Oryctolagus cuniculus: one gene and its partners. The protein of the gene in region 3 interacts with the protein of the main gene of each other region in a pairwise test. Links are inferred from orthologs where the notes say so. Each region holds a gene or a part of one and is shown on either strand. Other genes may lie near its edges.

Region 1 (5,079 bases), on a different chromosome or scaffold from region 3:
ATAAATCTTTTTTAAAAATCATGTTTCTTAACACAATGAAAGCAAGCAATAAGGTAGCTAATAGTTACAAGATACCAACTAATAATATAGCAAAAACCAGATTTTCAGGAAAACGTAAATTGCCTAAAAACTCCAAACTGCAACCATGATTTTCTCATTTTATTTGCATTTTGCATTGCCCTACTTTGCCAACTCACAAATCCTGAGAGACAGAGTTGTGATATTAATAGCAGGAATAGAATCAAGGACAATGCCTGCAACTAGATCAATTTAAAACCTGCCATGATAGCGAATTGTCCAAGTGTACATGTTTAGTCTTTCTTTGTCAGGATTATATATTCTACCTTCTTGGTACAATCCTAAAAGGGACTTTTGTGTGTTTTGTGCTTAAAATCAAAATTGAATTTGTTGTGGGACTTTAAAATCTCAGTCCCCAGAACATATTCCAATTTGAGTCATTGCATCCAAGTTTACAAAAACTTGGTTCTAAGTAGTTTTAGCTGGAAAAGTTCATTAGTTCAACTCTAAAAATGAAAATATTATCGTCTCTTGGCCTTTTGGCTAAGATCATGTGTAGTATCTGCTCTTATCAGTTTAAAAATGAAATCATTGATTCACAAAGACAGAGAGAATGGTGGGTAAGTGATCTTTATTTGGTCTGTACATTCTGCTTCCAAACAGGAGTTTTCCATAAGAAAAAAAAAAGAACTAGATAAAAATACAATCAGAAGTGCTTTTATGTTGGACTCCAACAAAAAGTTTCAACCTTTTTCCAAATTTTCATTTATATAGCCTTTAAATTCATGGTTCAAAAATACATTTAACTTAACTCCTGGAACAATTTCAATACAATGGCTTAGTATATCCTCCCATGAAATTATGCGCTTAAGTCTGGACGCCTTTCCAGGCCGCCTTTGCTGTATTGGCCCATTCCCAGAGTCTGGCAGCAAGGCCAGAAATCTGAAATGTAGGCCTTCGAAGCAGGGCGATGGCCAGGAAAAGGACTACAGAGAGAATGGCAGAAGCATCATCGAGTGGGTGAAATGAGTGCAGGGAACGCAAACTTACACTGCACAAAGGCTTTTTTTTAAGAGATGATGTTTGGAAATAGTGATACCCCACACAGGATTCAGTAGTTAACAACAAACCCGACCCTTAATTAACCCAGAGATTTCAGAATCTGCCCTGCGGCAGATGCCTGGTCTACGGATTTTGCGTCCCAATGTCTTCCATCCCTCTCTATACTGCCACAAAAACAACCTCAAGAAACGGGAGGTAGAAGGCCCTGAGGCGCAACACAGTGGTTCTAGTGCAAACATGCGGCCCCAGGGGACGCCTCGGGTTCTACCCTAGGACCGCCAGGCCGCTGAAGGCTGGCGCGGCCGCTGGCGCCTCCTATTGGCTGCCTCGAGCGCGCGTTCCGCCCCGCGCCGCGCTCCGCCCTGGTGTCAGTTGCGAAGGACGCGGCGTCGGTTGGTTACCAAGATGGCGACGGCTGGGAGACTGCTGCCACCTTTGCTATTGCCAGGCAAGGTCTTCGCAGTTGCAGCAGCTGTCGCCACCACGGTCACGAGCGCCTCTGCGTGGGAGTCAGGGCTGCCGCGGCCAGTCTTTCGGCGCCCGTGACGCGGGGCTTGAGAGAAGGCTTGTGGGGAGGGGCCGAGGACGAGGAAGCCGGAGCTGCTATGAGGGAGGCGCTAGGGGCTGGCGAGGAGGTGGCGCTGAGGTGAAGGATGCTGACTGGGAGGCCGGGAGCCAGAAACGCGGTCCCAGGACTGGGCACTGACTCCTCCGACACCTGCGGCAGAGCGCCCCTCAGCCCCCAAGAGAGCGGCGGGCGTCACCGACCTGGCGCTTACCTGTATCCTTCCCAGCCTGTGGCTGCCGGGGTGGCGGTGTTGGCGACGAGGCAGGTGTTTTCCCCATAACTCCCCATGACCGCGGCCGCCAGGTGATGCAAATTAGCAAGTCATCTTAATGCGGGTGTTCTCATTGCCCCCACCTAATCCCGTTCTGCGCCCCCTTCCCCCTCCGCCCTGTTGTCCTACCCCATTCATCAACTTCTTTGTAAAATGTCGGGGATTTTTCAAATAGAGAAACCGTGTATTCTGTAGGAGTTATTTTTGCCTTCTAGAATGATGCCTTTATGTTCTTTACTTACATATTAATCACTTCTTGGTTAATCGTGCCACTTAGAGAAGTGGGAAAATAGAAGGAGGTTTTGCTGTCCTGAAGAATCCGTGAGAACAATTAACCTAGCACGTCTAGATCTGTTTAGCAGAGCTACTGAAGCCTAGCCCTGCTTGGTGATTTGTTTTGTTTTCTCCCTGTGCAGTCTGTTGTCACAGAGACAGCAGAGAAGAAATGAGAAGGAAGGGACCCGAGCTTCCCAAAACAGATTGCCTGGGACTTTTCCCTCATTTTTAGTTGAAGCCAACTTTGATGTTGCTGTTGGTTGCCTTGTAGATAAGCGAAAGAGTTTTGTTTACACAGTTTGCAAACCATGTTTATTCCTTCAGAGACTGTTGTGATGATTAGAATTTAACGTTTGAATTCTCCGGGGACTAGTTGGCAGGGATAATAGTGCCTAATCATCTTCATTCTTGTCTTCTCTTTCCAAAGTAACCTTTATTTTCTTATCCCTATTGTCTCCAACTTTTTCTGGGATGTCCTTTTAACTCTGTTGGAATTTTAACAGCATGTAAGCAATTTGTATTGATTATCTGCTTTTTGGCAGGCTCTGTTCTAGATTCTAGGGATATAAATTAATAAAAAAAGAGAGGTAGGTACAGAGTTTTACTAAGAGTAAAATATCCCTCTTCTGAGCATAATTTCCTGCACGTACGATCCCTTCTATTTCTTTGGTGAAGTTTCCAAAATTATATCCTGCAATAGCAGCTTCTACTTCCTCTCATCTGTTCATAAATAACTCCACTGAGTTTGACTTTTGCACTTGCTACTCTCAAAAATATACTCTGATATGAACTGGGTTATTTTTCTGTATTCATTTGACTTTGCCCTTGTGACATTGTATTTTCCTGGACACCAAACTCCTATTACACTGAACCTGATTTATCATGAAATCAACAGGGACATGGTAAACGGTTCGTGGACAAGGTGTTTCTACTATTGTCATTAATTAAATGATCAAAGATAAAATTGTATATGCAATGTAATACATACAAACACCACAGAAAATACTTGTAAATATAAGGGGACTACAGAAAGTTCCTGGAAAATCTGCTATCATTCACATAATAAATATGAGGTCTCTGCTAACATGACCCCAGCAGTAGATGCTCAGTGAATTTCAAGGCAACATGTTCTATACTTACCAGCATATTTATGACCCTTTATCTTTATGCACTAAAATAAATTATCTTTTAATTCTACTTTTTGACAAACTTTTTGAAGAACCCTCATGGAATTCAGCAGTACATCAAATGAACACACCAAATAGGCTTTATTCCAGAATTATAATGATGGTTTCCTAAAGAGAAATATATACTTTAAAATATAAAGACAAAATGTATTGTTAAGTTGTAAATTATCATTTCTTTTTTAGGTTTATTTATTTTAAATTTTTTTATTTAAGGTGACCATTTTTAATGTATTTATTGCAAGGTGTCTGGCGCTTAACAAATCTTCCCAGGCAGACGAATCGAATCATTAATTCACAGGCTTTTATTGGGATTCCGCTCCCAGGCGAGATTCCCCAGTCCCAACAGAGCGGGGGCGGGGAAGTCATGCATCAGAGGTTGGGAGGGCTCCTTTTATAGATTCAGGGCATGGGGGTTAAAGGTTGAGGCGGGTCTGAACCTCAATGGTTGACCTTTAGGCCCCCGCAGGGACCTTGACAAGAACTTTTCTTCCCCAGAAGTACAGGTAGGGACTTCTCCATTCCCAGAAGTGTAGGCCTTCCTTCCATGTGGATCCCAAAGCTACCATCCCGACCTTTTGATGATAGGAAAAGGGGTGACGATGAGTCTCTCTGGCTACTTCCTGCTGACTGGGGACATTGTCTACAGGGGCCCGCTGTGGGTATCTTGGGACTCCACAGGGACAGGCATGTATGGATGGAGAAGCATCTGGTTGACTGGTTGCTGAAGGCCTTGGTTCATTCCATTATCACCTGATGTAAACGCTTAAACAGACACTGTAGTATACAAGTCAAGGTGAGAATAACAACCAATGATCCTAAGAGTGGCATTAACCAGGTAATGAGAAGATTTCATAGAGGAGAGGAAATGAGGGGGGGGTCTCTGGACCCTTGTGAGGTTTGTTTGATGGACATGGTTTAAATCTAATCCCAGCCAAGACCAGGAGAAAGGCCACTCAACTTTTGCAGGTAGAGGGGTTTGTCTGTAGAGAAATTCTGAATAATCATACAACATTAAGTGGAGGAGAGGACCATCAGTACACACAGGTTGGGAGCAGAGCCACTGATGTTAGAGTAGAGGTTATTATTACAAAGGAATGAGGCCCAAGTAGGCTAGACAGTGTCTAGAACAAAGGACAGAGTCATTATTAGAGGACTCAAGAAAGGTGCTGTCTAAGCCATAACTAAATTTTCTGATTGAGAGACACATAGAAACTGACAGAAGGGACTTAATAATAATCTGGTGGGCTTTAGGCCTTGTAAGTTAAGATGCCCAGACCTATCTATCTCTTCACATAGGGTACATCCTAAGGGAGGTCTGACCCTCCTTGGGGAATGCACCCTGTTGACTTCCATTATCTACCTGGCTTGGGAGGAGAGCTGGCCAGGTAAAGGCAGGTGGCATCTCTAACAGGAAATTTACAGTTCTGCCTGCAATGTTGCTGACCCTACTTGGCCATCCCCTCAGCTGCAGTGGTCACTTTGGAAGCTGGGCTGAGTGAAGGGCTTTTCAGCTTAGAACCAATAAGATACGTGGCTCTGACCTGAAGTCCTTTGACTCCAGGGCAGGTCCATTTCCAGTGATCCAACTCTTGGCTGGCAGAGCTGCCAGGGCTCTTCACAAGCGGATTTCTGCTGAAGCCCAGGCTTACCACTCTGAAAGCCACTTAGTGGACTGGCCTGTTGGGTCTCCTTAAGGG
Region 2 (5,222 bases), on a different chromosome or scaffold from region 3:
TTTCCCCTGGAGGTGATGGAGCAAGGGCGGCGCTGGCCCTGTCCTGCCAGCGCTCCTGCAGGGAGTTGTGCACAACAGCCTTGTGTTCCCTCTCCTGACCTGCCAGTGCCGGCTGAGATCAGTGCAGCTGAGCCGCAGGACGTACGGTGTGATGGGGCCACACTTCGTCTTCTATGAAACTCAAACACTGGATTTCCTTGACATAGTGGAAACCCCTTCTTTGCAAATATCTGCCTGTGTACTATTTTTTTTTTTTTTTTAAGATTTATTTTGTTTATTTGATAGAGTTAGAGAAATAGAGAGAAAGCTCTTCCTTCTGCTGGTTTACTCTCTAAATGGCTGCAATGGCCGGAGCTGAGCTGATCTGAAGCCAGGAGCCAGGAGCTTCTTCCGGGTCTCCTGCATGGGTGCAGGGACCCAAGCACTTGGGCCATCTTCTACTGCTTTCCCAGGCACATCTGCAGAGGAACTGCAGTGGAAGTGGAGCAGCTGGGACTTGAACCGGCACCTGTATTGGATGCTGGCCCTGCAGGATAGGCTTTAGCCTACTGTGCCATAGCACCAGCCCCTGTGCAGTATTTTTAGCTCTTGTATTCCTTAGGCAGTTTGGAAAATGGTTGGGACAGGAGAAAGATGGGAGGTCCTGTGGTCTACATGTAACACTAGATAAGCGTATCTTACATGCTGTTTCCTTTCTCAGGACTTGAGTTTTCCCATGATAAACAGAGCTCAAAGCCCTACAAAAGATTTCTTTTACTACAAAGGGGTCACCAATTGCAAATTCCACACTAAATGTTGGGTTTGGTTTTAGGCGCAAGAAGCCATGAACAAGACAGCCCCAGTAGCGGCAGAGCGTCGTCACTGTTGCTGGTGACTGCTCCGAAGCCACGGAGAGCAGCCTCCTGCGGCCTCGCTGGACGTCCCAGACCTCAGCCCTGTCAGACACTGGCCTAGAGCAGCGCTTCCCTGATGGTTCCAAAGACACGCAGCAGTCAGCAGACCTTGTATATTATGTGCCTCACCGTATTTAATATTCCCAGCAGAGCAAGACCCCGGGCTCATTGCTGTATGGACTTTTTATAATGCTGTTTCTTGTATATTTCTTATGGACTTATAAACTAATTCACACAGCTGTTTGTCTTGGTATAATTAAGGTAATATCTAGATCACGCTTCGTTTTTTATTGTGACTTCTCCAGCTCTGGTCTGAGTATTTCTTGGGTTTTATAAACGAAACAAATGCTGCTATTGATTAGCTGCAAGAATGCACTTTAGACATATTTGACAATTGAAACTTTCAAAATAAAGATATCGGGACTGGCCCATAATAAAACCATTTTCAGAAGGTGTTTTGCATTTTGTATATATATACTCACTTTCTGACATTTAGATATGCCAAAAGAATTGAAATAAAAAGCACTCAGAACCACAGAGGTGTGATGGTCATTCATTTCACACACACACTAGCCGCAGCAAGCACGCGTCTCGCTTTCACCTGGCACTCTTCCTTGTGAACTGAATGAGAAGAAAGCCCTGGAAAATGCCCACGGGAAGTAATCTGTTAAATGGGAAATGCCTTTTTTGTCTGACAACCATAATTCCTACAGAATAAGTGCGCTCTCCCAGACATTTAAACAGAAAACACAGTTTGGCACAAAACAGAAAGCACTGTGGAAAATCCTGGTGAAATAGCTATTCTTGCCTGAGTGAGCCTGTTTGCTTGTTAAGTTTGCATTTCTTTTAAGGCTGAACTTTTTAACATGATAGTTTGTGCATTTTTAAAATCAATATTGAAAGGATGATATTAGTCCTGACCAAAAGCAGTTTCAAAGGCTAAGGAGAAAGACAATCCACGTGTCACTCAAAGTGTAATAGGAAAATTACATGTATTTTTAGAATGCTTCCTATTTCAGTAGAAACTCCAGGATTTTTCACTTATTTCAGAGGCAGAGAGGATTCTCAGGTACTTGTTCTGTCACCTGTTGCCAACCAATCCACTTTGGATTTGTAAAACTATAGTTCTGACACTGCCAAGTTCCCATGAAGGTGCGTTTTTTGGGTTTCTATTCTATTCTGATCCATGCATCTCTAGGCATCCCAGTAACACTTTGAAACATTGATCTAATATATACTTGCGCATCTTCTATGTGCCATGTTTTGGGCACAGGGATTGCAGTGGTGAAGTTTGTGTTCTTGGATTTTAATTAAGTCTGTCTGCTTTAAAAAATCGTCCTGGTTATTACTGGCCTTTGATCCTTACATTTAAAATTTAAGGTCAGCTTGTCAGATTCTATTGAAAACCTTAATGGAATTTTGATTGAAGTTACATCATTAGAATTATCGACTGTAGGATCGTCCCATCATTCTTCTAAGGTTGCCTTTGATGGTCCATAAGGTTTTTAAATTCATTGATCTGAAACGCAGAGTTACAGAGTGACATCTTCCATCCACTGGTTCACTCCACCAATGGCCACAACCGCAAGGGCAAAGGCAGCCAAAACCAGGAGCCAGGAGCTGCAGGGTCTCCGCGTGGGTCCAGGGGCGCAAATACTTGGGCCATCTCGCTTCTTTCGCAAGGAGCTGGATGGGGAGTGGAGGAGCCTGGACTCAACCAGGGCTCAGGGGTGCGGATGCCACCACAAAGGTGGCCTCTTCATAGTTTTCAGATTTTAAAAATGATGGTCACGGGGCCGGCACTGTGGCATAGTGGGTAAAGCTGCCACCTGCAGTGCCGGCATCCCATATGTGCGCTGCTCCACTTTCCATCCAGCTCTCTGCTGTGGCCTGAGAAGGCAGTAGAAGACGGTCCAAATGCTGGGCCCCTGCACTCGTGGAGGAGACCTGGAAGAAGCACCCGGCTCCTGGCTTTGGTTTAGCACAGTTCCAGCTGAAGTCAGGAGCCAGGTGCTTCTCCTGGTCTCCCATGCGGGTGCAGGGCCCAAGCACCTGGGCCATCCTCCACTGCACTCCCGGGCCACAGCAGAGAGCTGGCCTGGAAGAGGGGCAACCGGGACAGAATCCGGCGCCCCGACCGGGACTAGAACCCGGGGGTGCCGGCGCCGCAGGCGGAGGACTAGAACCCGGGGTGCCGGCGCCGCAGGCGGAGGATTAGCCTAGTGAGCCGCGGCGCCGGCCCCCAGTAAGGTTTTGATGGGCACCCTTTACTAGGATATGGAAGTTAGCCTTTATGTTTCCCACTTTCCAAGGCTCTGGGGAAACAGCTGTTGGGTTTCAGCGTGGTTTCTCTGACTGAAAGTTTTCGGAGACGTCGCTCCTTAGTTCGCTGGTGTAAGATTTTCACGATATATACCCTGGGTATTAATTCACCGAAGGGCCGGGACCCGGCTCAAACGCTCTCACACCGGTGCGGGGCGCAGTCAGCCGCGCCTGGATCCAGTGAGCATGTTCCCTCTTCCTAAACGCCGTCCCGGTTCGCCAGACCCACGCTTCGGCCAGGTCCGGAGAGCCGGCATCTCGCAGCGGCGGACAAACTCCCACAACGAGCTCCGCGCACAGCGCAGGCGCGTACGTCACCCCCCCTCCGTCCCGCCCCTTCCGCCCTGCACGGGCGCCGATTGGCTCGAGCGGCCGTATAAGAAGTTGTGCGCAGGCGCACAGCCCCCTTTCCTCAGCTGCCGCCAAGGTGCTCGGTTCTTCCGAGGAAGCTAAGGCCGCGTTGGGGTGAGGCCCTCACTTCATCCGGCGACTAGCACCGCGCCCGGCAGCGCCAGCCCCACCAGCCCCGCACCATGGCCTCCGTCTCCGAGCTCGCCTGCATCTACTCCGCCCTCATCCTGCACGACGACGAGGTGACCGTCACGGTGAGTGCGGGGCGGCCGGTCCACGCGGTCCCGGCGTCCCTTCCGGCGCGGCGGGCGGGCGGGCCGGCCCCGTGCTGGGCCGCGGGCGGGCGGGCCCCCGCGCTGGGAGGCATGGGGGCGGCACGGGAGCCCTGCTCGGCGCCCCCGGCCTGGCCGCGTGACCCGGGAAGCCCTGGCAGAGCCCGGGCTCGGGGCGCGTCGCGTCGCTGGTGGCGGGCGCGGGTTGGAAGTGGGCGTCCGGGGGGGAGCGGGGAGCGTGGCTGTGCCCCCGGTGGTGCCCCGCTAGCCGGCGCTCTGTCGGTTTCAGGAGGACAAGATCAACGCCCTCATTAAAGCAGCTGGCGTCAACGTGGAGCCCTTCTGGCCTGGCTTGTTCGCGAAGGTAAGGCCGACTGGACCAGGTCAGGAGCGCTTGTCCCTACGCCCCAGCCCCCTAAGTAAGCTCCGGCTGGTCAGACCCGGCTCTTCGTTCCTTATCAGAAAGCGAGAGGAGCGCTTGCTTTCCCGGACTCCCGTGGGGCGCTGGGCTTTGCCGGCCGCCCGTGTTCCAGGCCGATGGAGACGGGGCCCCTGGCCGGAGCTGGTGCAGGCCGCTGAAGGCTAATAATAGCCTTGGAAGGCTCTCGTTGGCCTGTGTGCTGGGGTTTCGCAAGAGTGACAGTATGCACCCGGGTCAGCTTTTAGTAAATCCCCCTTTGAAAATGGCCCAGGCGGCCAGCAGTCTGAAATAGGGAATTCTGGGAAGCGCACGCCGGCCGCAGAACGTGCAGGAGTCTTTAGTTGCTTCAGGACGCCTGACTGCTGACAGGTTACTCGGGGCCGGTTGTCCCGTGTGTAGGAGAGGAGGAGTGCGGGTAACTGGCCCCTAGTGCTGCGCACGCGCAGTGCAAGCGCCGTGAGAGGGCTGGAAAGCTCAGTGGTTACTTGTGACAGCTTCAGTACAGCAGTGTGCCTCGCCTGGAATCTTAATCAACAAGAGAAGTCACTGTTGGGAGGGAAAGATAAGCTGCTTGATGCCCTGGGCGGACACCGTGCAGGTGTGGTTCCAGCCGCTGGGAGTCGGAGGCGGCTTTTTATCCTTTCCCTGAGTGCTGTATAATGCTGCGTGTGTGTTTCAGGCGCTGGCCAATGTCAACATTGGGAGCCTCATCTGCAACGTAGGGGCCGGGGGCGCTGCTCCAGCCGCTGGCGCCGCTCCGGCAGGAGGCCCTGCACCCGCGGCCGCCGCCGCCCCAGGTAGGCAGCGGGTGTGCGGGGCGGGTGGGGGGTTGACAGGGGAGTTGGTGATGGGCGGCTTCCTGCGGCGGGGGTGCCGTGGGTGCTCGCGGAGCCTGGGTCCGGAGCAGCGGGACTGACGCGGTCTCTCCTTTCCAGCTGAGGAGAAGAAGGTGGAAGCCAAGAA
Region 3 (5,170 bases):
TTGAACACAAAAATACCTGTTGGAACTTATATAAATCATTATACTTCTCGTGGAAGTCCAAGTTCAAAAGTTCCTTCTGAAGCCTTTCCAAGAAGTCTTGGCTTTGGATGAAGTTTGGGATCACACAGTGAAGAAAGGGGTCCACATCCATGACAATGGCTTCTGTTGGAAGGAAAACACCATATATGGCTTTTTTAACACAGTAGAGGGAATACAAAAGACGATGGTCATGAAGTTTTGGGAACCTAACACCTAAATTCTAAGATTTAGAGGAAGAATCGCTAAGTTCAGCTTTTCTTTATCTACTCAATGCTATTTTTAAAAAAATATAATATTTAAAAATACTTGTCCTTAAGATAAGTACAGGTGATGTCGGCCAACCAAGGATTCTGTCCTTTTTCTGAGTTTCAATTACTTACTGAATTGAATGTATGTTAGATTTTTAATTCACTTCCCCCAATATTAAAATAGCAGTAGCTAATAAGAGTAGCAACACTGGCTGGCAGTTCCTCTTTAGCCCTGCTTTATTTTTCCTCCAGTTATTGTCAAGGAAGTCCTTACACAGGAGTCCTCCCCACCTCCCTCCCCCACCAGGTAAGGCATAACCTCCTCTAGTTCCTTAATTTCTATCCCAGCATTTTACCCACTGCCTCCGCCGGGCTGGACTGTGAATGGCCCCTTAATCACCACCACTCAGCTACTACAAGCCAGACCCACGTGGTTTAGGTGTATTATCTCATTTAATCTCAGCAACTCAGTAGGCGTTATCCCTATACCCATCTTCTAGACGAGGAAACTGAGACGCCTGAGCGTTCGGAGCTCGCACAAAACACTCAGCTATCACCATCCAGTGCAGCCAGGGCACCCCACACGCCTCTTCAAAGCACTTAACAAGGAAAACAGAAACCACGGTCAACTCTCCCAGGGAGCACGTGACAGTCAGCAGGGTTCTAGGCTCTAAGGCGACGTCTGAAGCTGAGACTGCAATCTTCCTTCCTGTGTATTTTCCTAGGTCAGGCAGCAAACCACGTTAAAATGGGTTAAGCGCAGGCGCCTGCTCTCTCGGCAGCCCCCCACAAATGCCCAGGCTGGAACCCCAAGGGGCCGCCGCGCTCACCCGGGCCACCCGAGCAGGTGTTGGAATGTTTACCGAAGAAGTAAGTGCCTGGTTTTACTAATTCCATTCGGCATCTCTCCGAGGTAAACGCGATTAGCCCCTTTTACATAAGAAGGAATTCAAGTTTAAAAAAGTTGAATCCATAATCGCCGACTCGCAGGCCCTCTACTTTCCCAAACTCTCCGGCCTACGTTTCCTCCTCTTTCGCGTTTCTAAATCCAAACTGAATCTAGAATGAAAAGGAGTGGCAGCCGAGGGAGGAGGGTCGGAGGCGGCCAAAGTTCTCCCGGTTCCTCGTGGCCCCGGCTGCCCAGGGCTTTGCTTCAGACCCCCCGCTCGGCGCCTCAGCCGTCATAACCCCCAGTTACCGTGACTGAACGGCGCCCTGCGACTCCAGGCTTCAGCCACCTGCTTTTTCAAGGTTTCCTCCGTGACAGCTTCCGAAAACTCCGCCATCACCTCCTTCTTTCCCTTTTTCCCCACGCGGCCCGGGCCGGGCTCAGCAGGCCGTTTCCCATTCATCTCCTAACAAGATACAGTCTCACGCCACACTGACCAAGCACCTACTTCCCCACGGCGACTACAATTCCCAGAATGCCTCAGTTCCCGTGTTCTCCAGCACTACCCATCGGGAAGAACCCAATCTAAAGGAGGCGGAACCTATCCCTGACTTACCAATGGGAGCGCTGTATATTGCGGCCATCTCACTAGCGATTGGCCCAGTAGCGCTTGGCCAGGCAGGCCTCCGCCTCTCAACTTCCTGCCGCCAGAGGCCCAGGATTCACTTCCGGCGTGCGTACGCCTCCTCTTGCGCTCTCATGTTAATGGCGGGCGGCGGCTACTGAGCGGGTCGCAGATAACCGCTGCCCGCACGGGGGGAAAAAATTTCCCTCACCTCCCGATTTCTGCTCACCACCAGAGTCAGAGGTTGCCAGCATGTCGGTGGTACCGCCCAATCGCTCGCAGACCGGCTGGCCCCGCGGGGTCAATCAGTTCGGCAACAAGTACATCCAGCAGACCAAGCCCCTCACCCTGGAGCGCACCATCAACCTGTAAGTGCGGCCTGGCCTTCGCGCGCAGCCTGGGCTCGCCCCGGTCAGTGCTGCTAAAGGCTCTTCTTCCGGCGCGCCCCGGGTCGGCGGGCCCCTAGCCCCGCGAGCCTTGCTCATCCCCACAGGTCCCTGGCGCGTCTTCCAGTCCCAAGGGGTTAGAACCTTGCTTGGAAGGATTTTTCACTTCTGGCAGGGAGACTTGTTCTCATCCGCTTATGGCCAGTTATTGGTAAAAGCAAAGTTCGCTTTAATTCCTTTCCTCACCTCTCCAGAGGTAACGAATTAAAAGTGTGCTTTTCCCCCCTTCCGGTCCAGTGTTTATGCTTGGTTCGCACCTAGGCTTTCGAGATCTAGCTCGGACCTTTAAGTGTCGTATGGTATTTCGGTGTGTGAATACACCACATTTCTAGTCATCTGCTCAGAGCTAGCTCACCTGCCCTATGCGTTCACATGCCTTCTCTGCCATAGCGTCCCAGACACCGAGGGCTCCAGCTTGGGAGTGTGGATGCCGTGTGTGGGTTTTTAGACCGTGAGAGAACCAGAGTTACGCCCCCGAGAACCCGTTGTGGGCTGTGCTTTATTTTTGAGCACTTCAGAGTCCTCAGAAGCAGTCTCGCTGTAGTAGGTCATTGGCGTTTGTGATCTTGATCAAGAAATTGGCATTGTGCTGAGAGAGAGTGAGGCAGCGTGGTGCTGACAGTGGTCAGGCAAGTGGCCAGTTCGAGCTGGTCAGTATTTATGTATAGGTACAAATTTTCAAAATACTTAGAGTGCAAGGATTTGCCAAGACTGATGTTTATGGGGGAAACACTTTAAATGTTTCTCTGTTTTATAGTCAAATAAATGAATTTCCCCCTCAAAAGCAAAAGCGAATTGGAATTAGATGGTTCTATCATTGTTTTATTTGGCTTGAGATGTAGATAATAGAAATGTGAGGTTTATAGAATTTGGAATTAGTTGATAGCTGTGTGCATACAAACTATCCTTGCAACTGTTACATTCAAGTACATACTAGTTAGTAATTTCGTTTCAGTTCCCTTATAAGAGTCCCAGGAAGTTGAGAAGACAAGTGTTCTTTAGAGTGGGAAAGCACAGCTTCTACGTTGCTTTCAGTGGTGATCAGAACTAGGATCCCACAGTTTTTCTGGATTTGCTTTGATTACCGGATCAGTTTGCATGAAGCCATTATGTAGAATTAACTTGGTGAGATGATGGTGCTTTCAATGAGATGTTTTACTCTTCACTTCATTAAAGTTGTGAGTTGATTTACAGTACTTTTGTTCTGTATAAATGCTGTATTCAGAAATAATCATTGTGTCGTGAACTTCAGTTCACCTGGGTGAGGCATTATATAGAAAACAAATCTCTCAAGCCGGCGCCGTGGCTCAATAGGCTAATCCTCCACCTTGCGGCGCCGGCACACCGGGTTCTAGTCCCGGTTGGGGCGCCGGATTCTGTCCCGGTTGCCCCTCTTCCAGGCCAGCTCTCTGCTATGGCCAGGGAGTGCAGTGGAGGATGGCCCAGGTGCTTGGGCCCTGCACCCCATGGGAGACCAGGAAAAGCACCTGGCTCCTGGCTCCTGCCAGGATCAGCGCGGTGCGCCGGCTGCAGCAGCGGCCATTGGAGGGTGAACCAACGGCAAAGGAAGACCTTTCTCTCTCTGTCTCTCTCTCACTATCCACTCTGCCTGTCAAAAAAAAAAAAAAAAAAAAAAAAAAAAAAAAAAAAAAAGAAAACAAATCTCTCTTCCCCTAGTATATCTTCATTTAGGAAACACTGCATGAACACCTACTTGATAACGAGTCCTGTGCATAGCACTGGGTATGTGAACATGAGGAAAGTCACGGTGTTAGGAGTCTGGGGTGGTAGATTTTCATCTCACAGCTGAAGATTCAAGCATTTCATCTTGATGGCATCTTACTGATGTGGGAGCTGGCTGTTGGACTAGGAGTATGTTATCACTGTCCTTATTAGTTCTTTCTGACTCCAGTTGTGAGAACTAAGTGAATAGACTTGCCTGGCAGATAATGCTAGATTTCATTTCACTTACAAGCGTGAGGTACCTGTGAGGTAACTGCTGCTGCTACCGAGGACTCTGTTAGATTCAGCCTTGGGTCTGCTGGGGAAGGTTCTTTATTTTCAACTTTTGTTTATTTGTTTCAAAGAGAGAGAGTGAGATTGATCTTCAATCCATTGGTTCACTCCTCAAGTGGCTGCAATAGCTAGGTCTGAGCCAGGAACTTCATTCTGTTCTCCGACATGGGTGGCAAAGGCCCAAGTACTTGGACCATCTTTCACTGGTTTCCTGGGCATATTAGCAGGAAGCTGGATAGGAAGTGGAGCAGGAATCACAAGTGGCAACCTAACCTGTGCCACAGTGCTGTCCCCTGCCCTCCACCCTGGAGTTCTCTTGAGTTGGCAACTTTGACTTATTTACCCTTCAAGAGGAGGTGAGTAGATTAGGTATGTGAGCAGACTAGGTATGTAGTGGTTGACTATTAATATCAAGGGCTCCCCCCCCGCCTCCGTTTGAAAAGCAGAGTTACACAGAGAGAGGAGAGGCAGAGACAGAGAGGTCTTCCATCTGCTGGTTCACTCCCCAGATGGCCACCACGGTCGGAGCTGCACTGATCTAAAGCCAGGAGCCATAGAGCTTCCTCTGGGTCTCCCACGAGGGTACAAAGACACAGTGACCTGGGCCATCCTCTACTGCTTTCCCAGGCCACAGCAGAGAGCTAGATCAGAAGTGGAGCAGCTGGGACTCAAACCGGTGGCCACATGGGATACGGGCACTGGAGACAGCAGCTTTATCCACTATGCCGCAGTGCTGGTCCCTATCAAGGGCTTTTAATAGAGAAGATAACCTTGCAAATAGCAAGTGTGGCCCAGGTGTTATTACTCAAGTTCACAATCAAAGGCTCATCATTAAGGGGTTATAAGTTGGTAAGTGTGATACAGTATAAATGTGGGATTTTTTGAAACTATCTTTAAGGAAGAATTT
Region 4 (5,140 bases), on a different chromosome or scaffold from region 3:
TGTTCAGCCCCCAGTTATGTGAGGGATGCAGGGCTCAGGGCAGTGGAGGGAGGGGAACAGGTGGCATGGGATTAACCCTGTTCCCAGGAAACCCTCCCCCCTGTAATTCCTCCTCTTGGGATTCTCCCAAGGCCTAAGGCTGGGAATGGGACAGAGGTGGCTGCCAGTTGGTGGGGAGGAGGCTCAGAGGGACTGCATAATCCTCGTCATCTCTCCTCACCTGCTCTCTTCCACAGATCGAGTTTAACAAGGATCAGCTGGAGGGTGAGGAGAAGCTGGTTTCCTGAGCCACTGTCCAGTCCCAAGGCCCCGGTCAGATCCTCTTGCTGTTCCCCTAACCCCGGCCCTGACCTTGAAGCCTGCCACATAGTTCTTTTTTCCTCCCTGGCTCTTCCCAGCTGTCACACATAGTTGCTGAGCCTGCCTCTGTCTGGGAGTGATGGGAGTCCTGGACTACAGTGATCCCTCCTTGTGTCCCCCAGAGTTCAAGGAGGCCTTTGAGCTGTTTGACCGAGTAGGGGATGGCAAGATCCTGTACAGCCAGTGTGGAGACGTGATGAGGGCCCTGGGCCAGAACCCCACCAACGCCGAGGTGCTCAAGGTCCTGGGGAACCCCAAGAGTGACGGTGAGGGGATCCTTGGGACAACGCAGGTTTTTCTGTGGCTAGATGTCGGTAAGGTGACAAAGGATGCTGGGCTGGATCTCGGGACCTGAGAAACCGTCAGACACCAGGCAGAAAAACATCCCGAATGCTGAGCACGATGAAAGGTGGTGTGGGAGGGGCCCCGGCGACATCACACTGACCTGTCTCATGCTTCCCTCCAACCGCCAGAGCTGAAGTCCCGGCGTGTGGACTTTGAGACCTTCCTGCCCATGCTCCAGGCAGTGGCCAAGAACCGGGACCAAGGCTCTTACGATGACTACCTGGAGGGGCTTCGGGTGTTTGACAAGGAGGGAAACGGCAAAGTCATGGGAGCAGAGCTGAGACACGTCCTCACCACCCTGGGTGAGGCAGGGACAGAATTCTATGAGGGCTGGTGGGGGAGTGGGGGAGCAGTGGACCAGGGTAGGCAGAGCCAGGGAGAGGATTACTGCCCTGCTGGGCAGGAGATGGAAGGGCTGGGGACAGGACCTGAAGGGCTGGCGCTTCCAGAGGCTAACGTGCCTCCCACAGGGCAGAGAACGGGAGACAAGTGGGAGACGTGTGCCCGTCACCCCTGGGAGTCAGTTCCCTTGTCCCTAGAAACTCCCATCAGTAGCAAGGCACTTTGTTACGAGTCGAGATGCAAAACAAGAGGCTTTACCGCGACAGCGGGAGGATGTCCTTGGGGGGAGTGGCTCCGAGCAAGTCTCCAGGGTGGGATAAGAGGTGCCACCCAGAAGAGTGTGGCTTGGGCCCCTGAGGGACCGCGCCAGGGCGGGGCTCCAACGCCGCCGTGTCTGGGGTGCAGGAGAGAAGATGACTGAGGAGGAGGTGGAGACTGTCCTGGCGGGACATGAGGACAGCAACGGATGCATCAACTACGAGGGTGAGGGGCCGGGGCGGGAGGGGCCCTTCGGGGGCGGCTGGGCGCACCCTGGGTTACCTAGAGTCGGGCGCGGTGTCCGCAGGCCCGGGTCTGAGGACCCTCTGCCTCCTCTCTCCGCAGCTTTCCTGAAGCACATCCTAAGCGTCTGAGCTCTACAGGTAGGGCCCTGCGACCTGAGGGCCGAGTCTCCCCCGCCTCCCGCCAGCTCAGAAAGCCGCGGACTGCGCGGGCGTCAGAGCTTGGCAACTTTCATTTTTTTCCCACAGATCCCGCGGGGCCAGATACTGATTCCCCCCACCCCCTGCAGGAGGAAGCACGTTCCTGCCACTAGGAGGCCACCTATTGTTTCAAAATAAAGACACGGTTCCTTCCTCGGTCTCAGACTGGTTTTCTTTGTGGGGTTGGAGGGGAGTGACGCCTTTCCCCACTTCCCGGTACCTCATCCTCCGATGTTCTGGGAGTTAGGAGGAGCAGATCGCTGCGCCCGACCCCCCACCCGCTCGAGCGTCTGCGGGCTCAGGTGCGAGCGACCCCGCCCGTCTCATTACTAATGCAGTAATGTAACCGCCCGAGCCCGGGGCGGGGCGCCCATTGGCTGGCCGGCCCGGGGTGACGTCATCAGGGCGTACTAAGACTAGGGTTGGGCCCGGAGCCGGAGCCATTACTGCAGGAAAAGATCCCGCAGAGCTGAGCGGTCAAGATGGTGGGGCCCGGGGCCTGGGAGCCGAGTGGGGTTTGGGACGAGGCGGGCAGCCGGGGGCAGGGGACGAGGAGCAGGCCAGGGTAGCGGGCGAAGGGGATCTGGGTGGGTTGGAAAGCCTGGGGTCCTGGTGCTGCTGGGGAGCGGAGCCCCAGCCTGCAAGAGGAGTTTGTGGGACGGGGATGGAGCATGGGGCGGGGGGGGGGGGGAGGTTGGAGTTCGGGTGCTGACCGCTACCTCTTCTCCGAGCAGTGCGACTTCACCGAGGACCAGACGGCAGGTAGGTCATTCTCTGGCTCCAACTGAGGTCATCTTCAGGGAGAAGGACACTCCCTCTGGCTCCTAACCCCAAACTGTTATCTCTTTACCGCCCCCCACCCCCACCCTCGGGAGAGTATCCCTGGAGTCCCTTCTCCCTTCTTCCGGGTCCTCTGTTTCCTTTTCTCACTTTCTTCCTCACTCCCCTTCTACTCTAGATCTGAGCCCCAAGCACTGGGTGAGTTTTAGGTGTGGGTATGTGGTCACCTAGTGCCTGCTGTGTGTGGGGTTTGGGGAGGGTCTGCGTGCCTCTGCTGTCCCTTAATCACTACATCTGCCTCTTCTCTCCTCCTTTAACTCTCCCTCCCTGCTCTCCCCACCCCCGGCTTGAATCGTGCAGATTGTGAAGGGCAGTGACCTGATTATTTCCCTGAAGTCGGGGACAGGGGAGTGTGCCCAGGATGTGACTATAGTTTTACTCTGCTAAGGTCTTTGTATGGTGGAAGTGGCCAGCTGGGATGACCCAGGTCTTGGGCTGTTGCTCCCACTTCCTTATAAGGACATGACCCAGACTGGGCGGTGGCAAATTCCTGCCCTGAGTAGTGTTTTAGTAGCGGGAGGCTGGCAGGCCTGCTGCAGGCGGAGGGTGTGTGCACATGGATGTTAGCAGACCACCAAGGGGACCGGGTGGCTGATTCTTCATGTGGGACACTTGAGTTGGGAGGAGAAATGGATCCCTCCTGGGACACTTAGTGTAGAGGTATCTGGTTTCCTCAGCTTGATCAGGGCCCTCCCAAGGCAGGGTTCAGGTTAACCCCCACGGCCCCAGTACTGACCTTCATCTGAATCCTCAGAGTTCAAGGAGGCCTTCCAGCTGTTTGACCGGACAGGCGATGGCAAGATCCTGTACAGCCAGTGTGGGGACGTGATGAGGGCCCTGGGCCAGAACCCCACCAACGCCGAGGTGCTCAAGGTCCTGGGGAACCCCAAGAGTGACGGTGAGGGTCGTAGAGAGCAGCCCCACTCCAATTGAGAGCTTCAGAGGCCCCAAGCTCAAGCAAGTCTTGTCTCGATTAGGAAATCCCAGGTTGCCCCTGCTGAGTCTTTTTTTTTTTTTTAAGATGTATTTATGTGAAAGAGTTGGAGAGACAGAGAGATCTTCCACCTGCTGGTTCACTTCCCAAATGGCTAAGAGCCAGGCTTGGGCCAGGCTGAAGCCATGAAGTCAGGAGCTTCTTCAAGGTCTCTCACATGGGTGCAGGGGCCCACACACTTGGGCCGTCTTCTGCTGCTTTCCCAGGCCACAGCAGGGAGCTGGATTGGAAGTGGAGCAGCCAGGACATAACTGACACCCATATGGGGTGTCGATGTTGCAGGCAGTGGCTCTACCTGCTAGGCCAGAGCGCCCACCTCCCACCCCTGGAGTCATTTGCTGACTGTGATCCTGAGAGTTCCCTCCTGAGAGCTCGTGTGACTTCCTGGCCTGACGTCCCCATGCTTCCTTTATGACAGAGATGAATGTGAAGGTGCTGGACTTTGAGCACTTCCTGCCCATGCTGCAGACTGTGGCCAAGAACAAGGACCAGGGAACCTATGAGGATTACGTTGAAGGCCTTCGGGTGTTTGACAAGGAAGGGAACGGCACTGTCATGGGTGCTGAGATCCGCCATGTCCTTGTCACACTGGGTAAGGCTCTGTCCTTGAGCTGAGCTACTCCTACTCACTCTGAGAGACCTCACTTGTCACCCACCTTAAAAAATGCCTCCTTCCCTCTGCAGGTGAGAAGATGACAGAGGAGGAAGTAGAGATGCTGGTGGCAGGGCACGAGGACAGCAATGGTTGTATCAACTACGAAGGTGAGGGGTCACCTGGGGCAGTCACAGGGGTCAGCTTAGGGATAAGACTTGGGGTTTTTCATATCCCTGGACTTGGGCTCCAAGAGGAGCCAGGAGGCAAAGGGCAGGGCTTGGCCTGGCCCAGCCCAGGGGTTGGGGGAGAGGGTCAGGGGGAGGATGACAGGAAAGGAAGGGGGAACGTGGCACGGAGAGTGGGGAAGGAAGGGGACGTAGACTCCACGGGATGTGTGTCCCCCAGCGCCTGACCCTTCACCCGTGTCCGTGTCTTGTCTTCACCACGAATGTCTCTTCCTTCCTGCAGCGTTTGTGAGGCATATCCTGTCGGGGTGACGGGCCGTGGGGCGGGTACGGCTCCTCCCAGCCTCTCCTCTAGTTGATCGCCCCAGTGTCTCTCTCCAGCCTGTGCTCTCGCCCCTGCCCTCACCCTTACTACCATCTGACTTCTGGCATGTTCCTGCATGGAGCTGGCTAGGAGGGGAGGGGTCCTCAAAGAGGAAGACAGCCTGGGGGAATGGTACCTCCTTCCTTCACACCTGGAACGGGCTCTGAAGTTTCGCTTACAGGGCCCTGGGTGCTGGTGACTGGGAACTCTCAGCAGCCAAACACCAGTCTTGCTTTAGGGTGAGCCTTTGGCCCTAGAGCATGGTGGTTGGCACAGGAGGGGCGAGCCGCCTGCCCCCTCCGTAGCTATAGCTTAATTGTCGTCTCCCCTTCCCTCTGCTGGGGCAGCTTGGAGGTACCCTAACCCGAAACTCTGTCCTCTCCTCCTGCCAGTGGCTGACAGTAGCTGTAGGTG

Evidence for each region.
Region 1: the proteins of NUDT21 (region 3) and CEP126 interact in a two-hybrid assay, tested with the Homo sapiens proteins (2 studies listed by BioGRID and IntAct). The link is inferred for Oryctolagus cuniculus from reciprocal best matches to the Homo sapiens genes NUDT21 and CEP126.
Region 2: the proteins of NUDT21 (region 3) and RPLP1 interact in a two-hybrid assay, tested with the Homo sapiens proteins (2 studies listed by BioGRID and IntAct). The link is inferred for Oryctolagus cuniculus from reciprocal best matches to the Homo sapiens genes NUDT21 and RPLP1.
Region 4: the proteins of NUDT21 (region 3) and MYL6 interact in binary tests that used the Homo sapiens proteins (3 or more experiments, as listed by UniProt). The two-hybrid records come from large-scale screens. The link is inferred for Oryctolagus cuniculus from reciprocal best matches to the Homo sapiens genes NUDT21 and MYL6.

The regions. Positions count from the first base shown.
Region 1 is NC_091432.1:93,341,307-93,346,385, forward strand, and holds the start of CEP126 (centrosomal protein of 126 kDa), read left to right. Parts: upstream 1-1,447; 5' UTR 1,448-1,733; coding exon 1,734-1,861; intron 1,862-5,079. UniProt on the Homo sapiens protein: Participates in cytokinesis. Necessary for microtubules and mitotic spindle organization. Involved in primary cilium formation.
Region 2 is NC_091443.1:92,101,294-92,106,515, forward strand, and holds the start of RPLP1 (large ribosomal subunit protein P1), read left to right. Parts: upstream 1-1,873; 5' UTR 1,874-3,748; coding exon 3,749-3,820; intron 3,821-4,127; coding exon 4,128-4,202; intron 4,203-4,938; coding exon 4,939-5,056; intron 5,057-5,194; coding exon 5,195-5,222. Other genes in the region: kinesin-like protein KIF23, read left to right, coding at 812-827. UniProt on the Homo sapiens protein: Plays an important role in the elongation step of protein synthesis.
Region 3 is NC_091449.1:40,206,539-40,211,708, reverse strand, and holds the start of NUDT21 (cleavage and polyadenylation specificity factor subunit 5), read left to right. Parts: upstream 1-1,864; 5' UTR 1,865-2,053; coding exon 2,054-2,169; exon of another isoform or gene 2,170-3,540; intron 3,541-3,924; exon of another isoform or gene 3,925-5,170. Other genes in the region: prolyl 3-hydroxylase OGFOD1, read right to left, coding at 17-162, 1,486-1,639. UniProt on the Homo sapiens protein: Component of the cleavage factor Im (CFIm) complex that functions as an activator of the pre-mRNA 3'-end cleavage and polyadenylation processing required for the maturation of pre-mRNA into functional mRNAs.
Region 4 is NC_091442.1:58,963,909-58,969,048, forward strand, and holds the start of MYL6 (myosin light polypeptide 6), read left to right. Parts: upstream 1-1,907; 5' UTR 1,908-2,230; coding exon 2,231-2,233; intron 2,234-2,482; coding exon 2,483-2,510; intron 2,511-3,342; coding exon 3,343-3,486; intron 3,487-4,000; coding exon 4,001-4,174; intron 4,175-4,266; coding exon 4,267-4,344; intron 4,345-4,645; coding exon of another isoform or gene 4,646-4,674; exon of another isoform or gene 4,675-4,689; intron 4,690-5,140. Other genes in the region: myosin light chain 6B, read left to right, coding at 483-626, 834-1,007, 1,453-1,530, 1,651-1,679. UniProt on the Homo sapiens protein: Regulatory light chain of myosin. Does not bind calcium.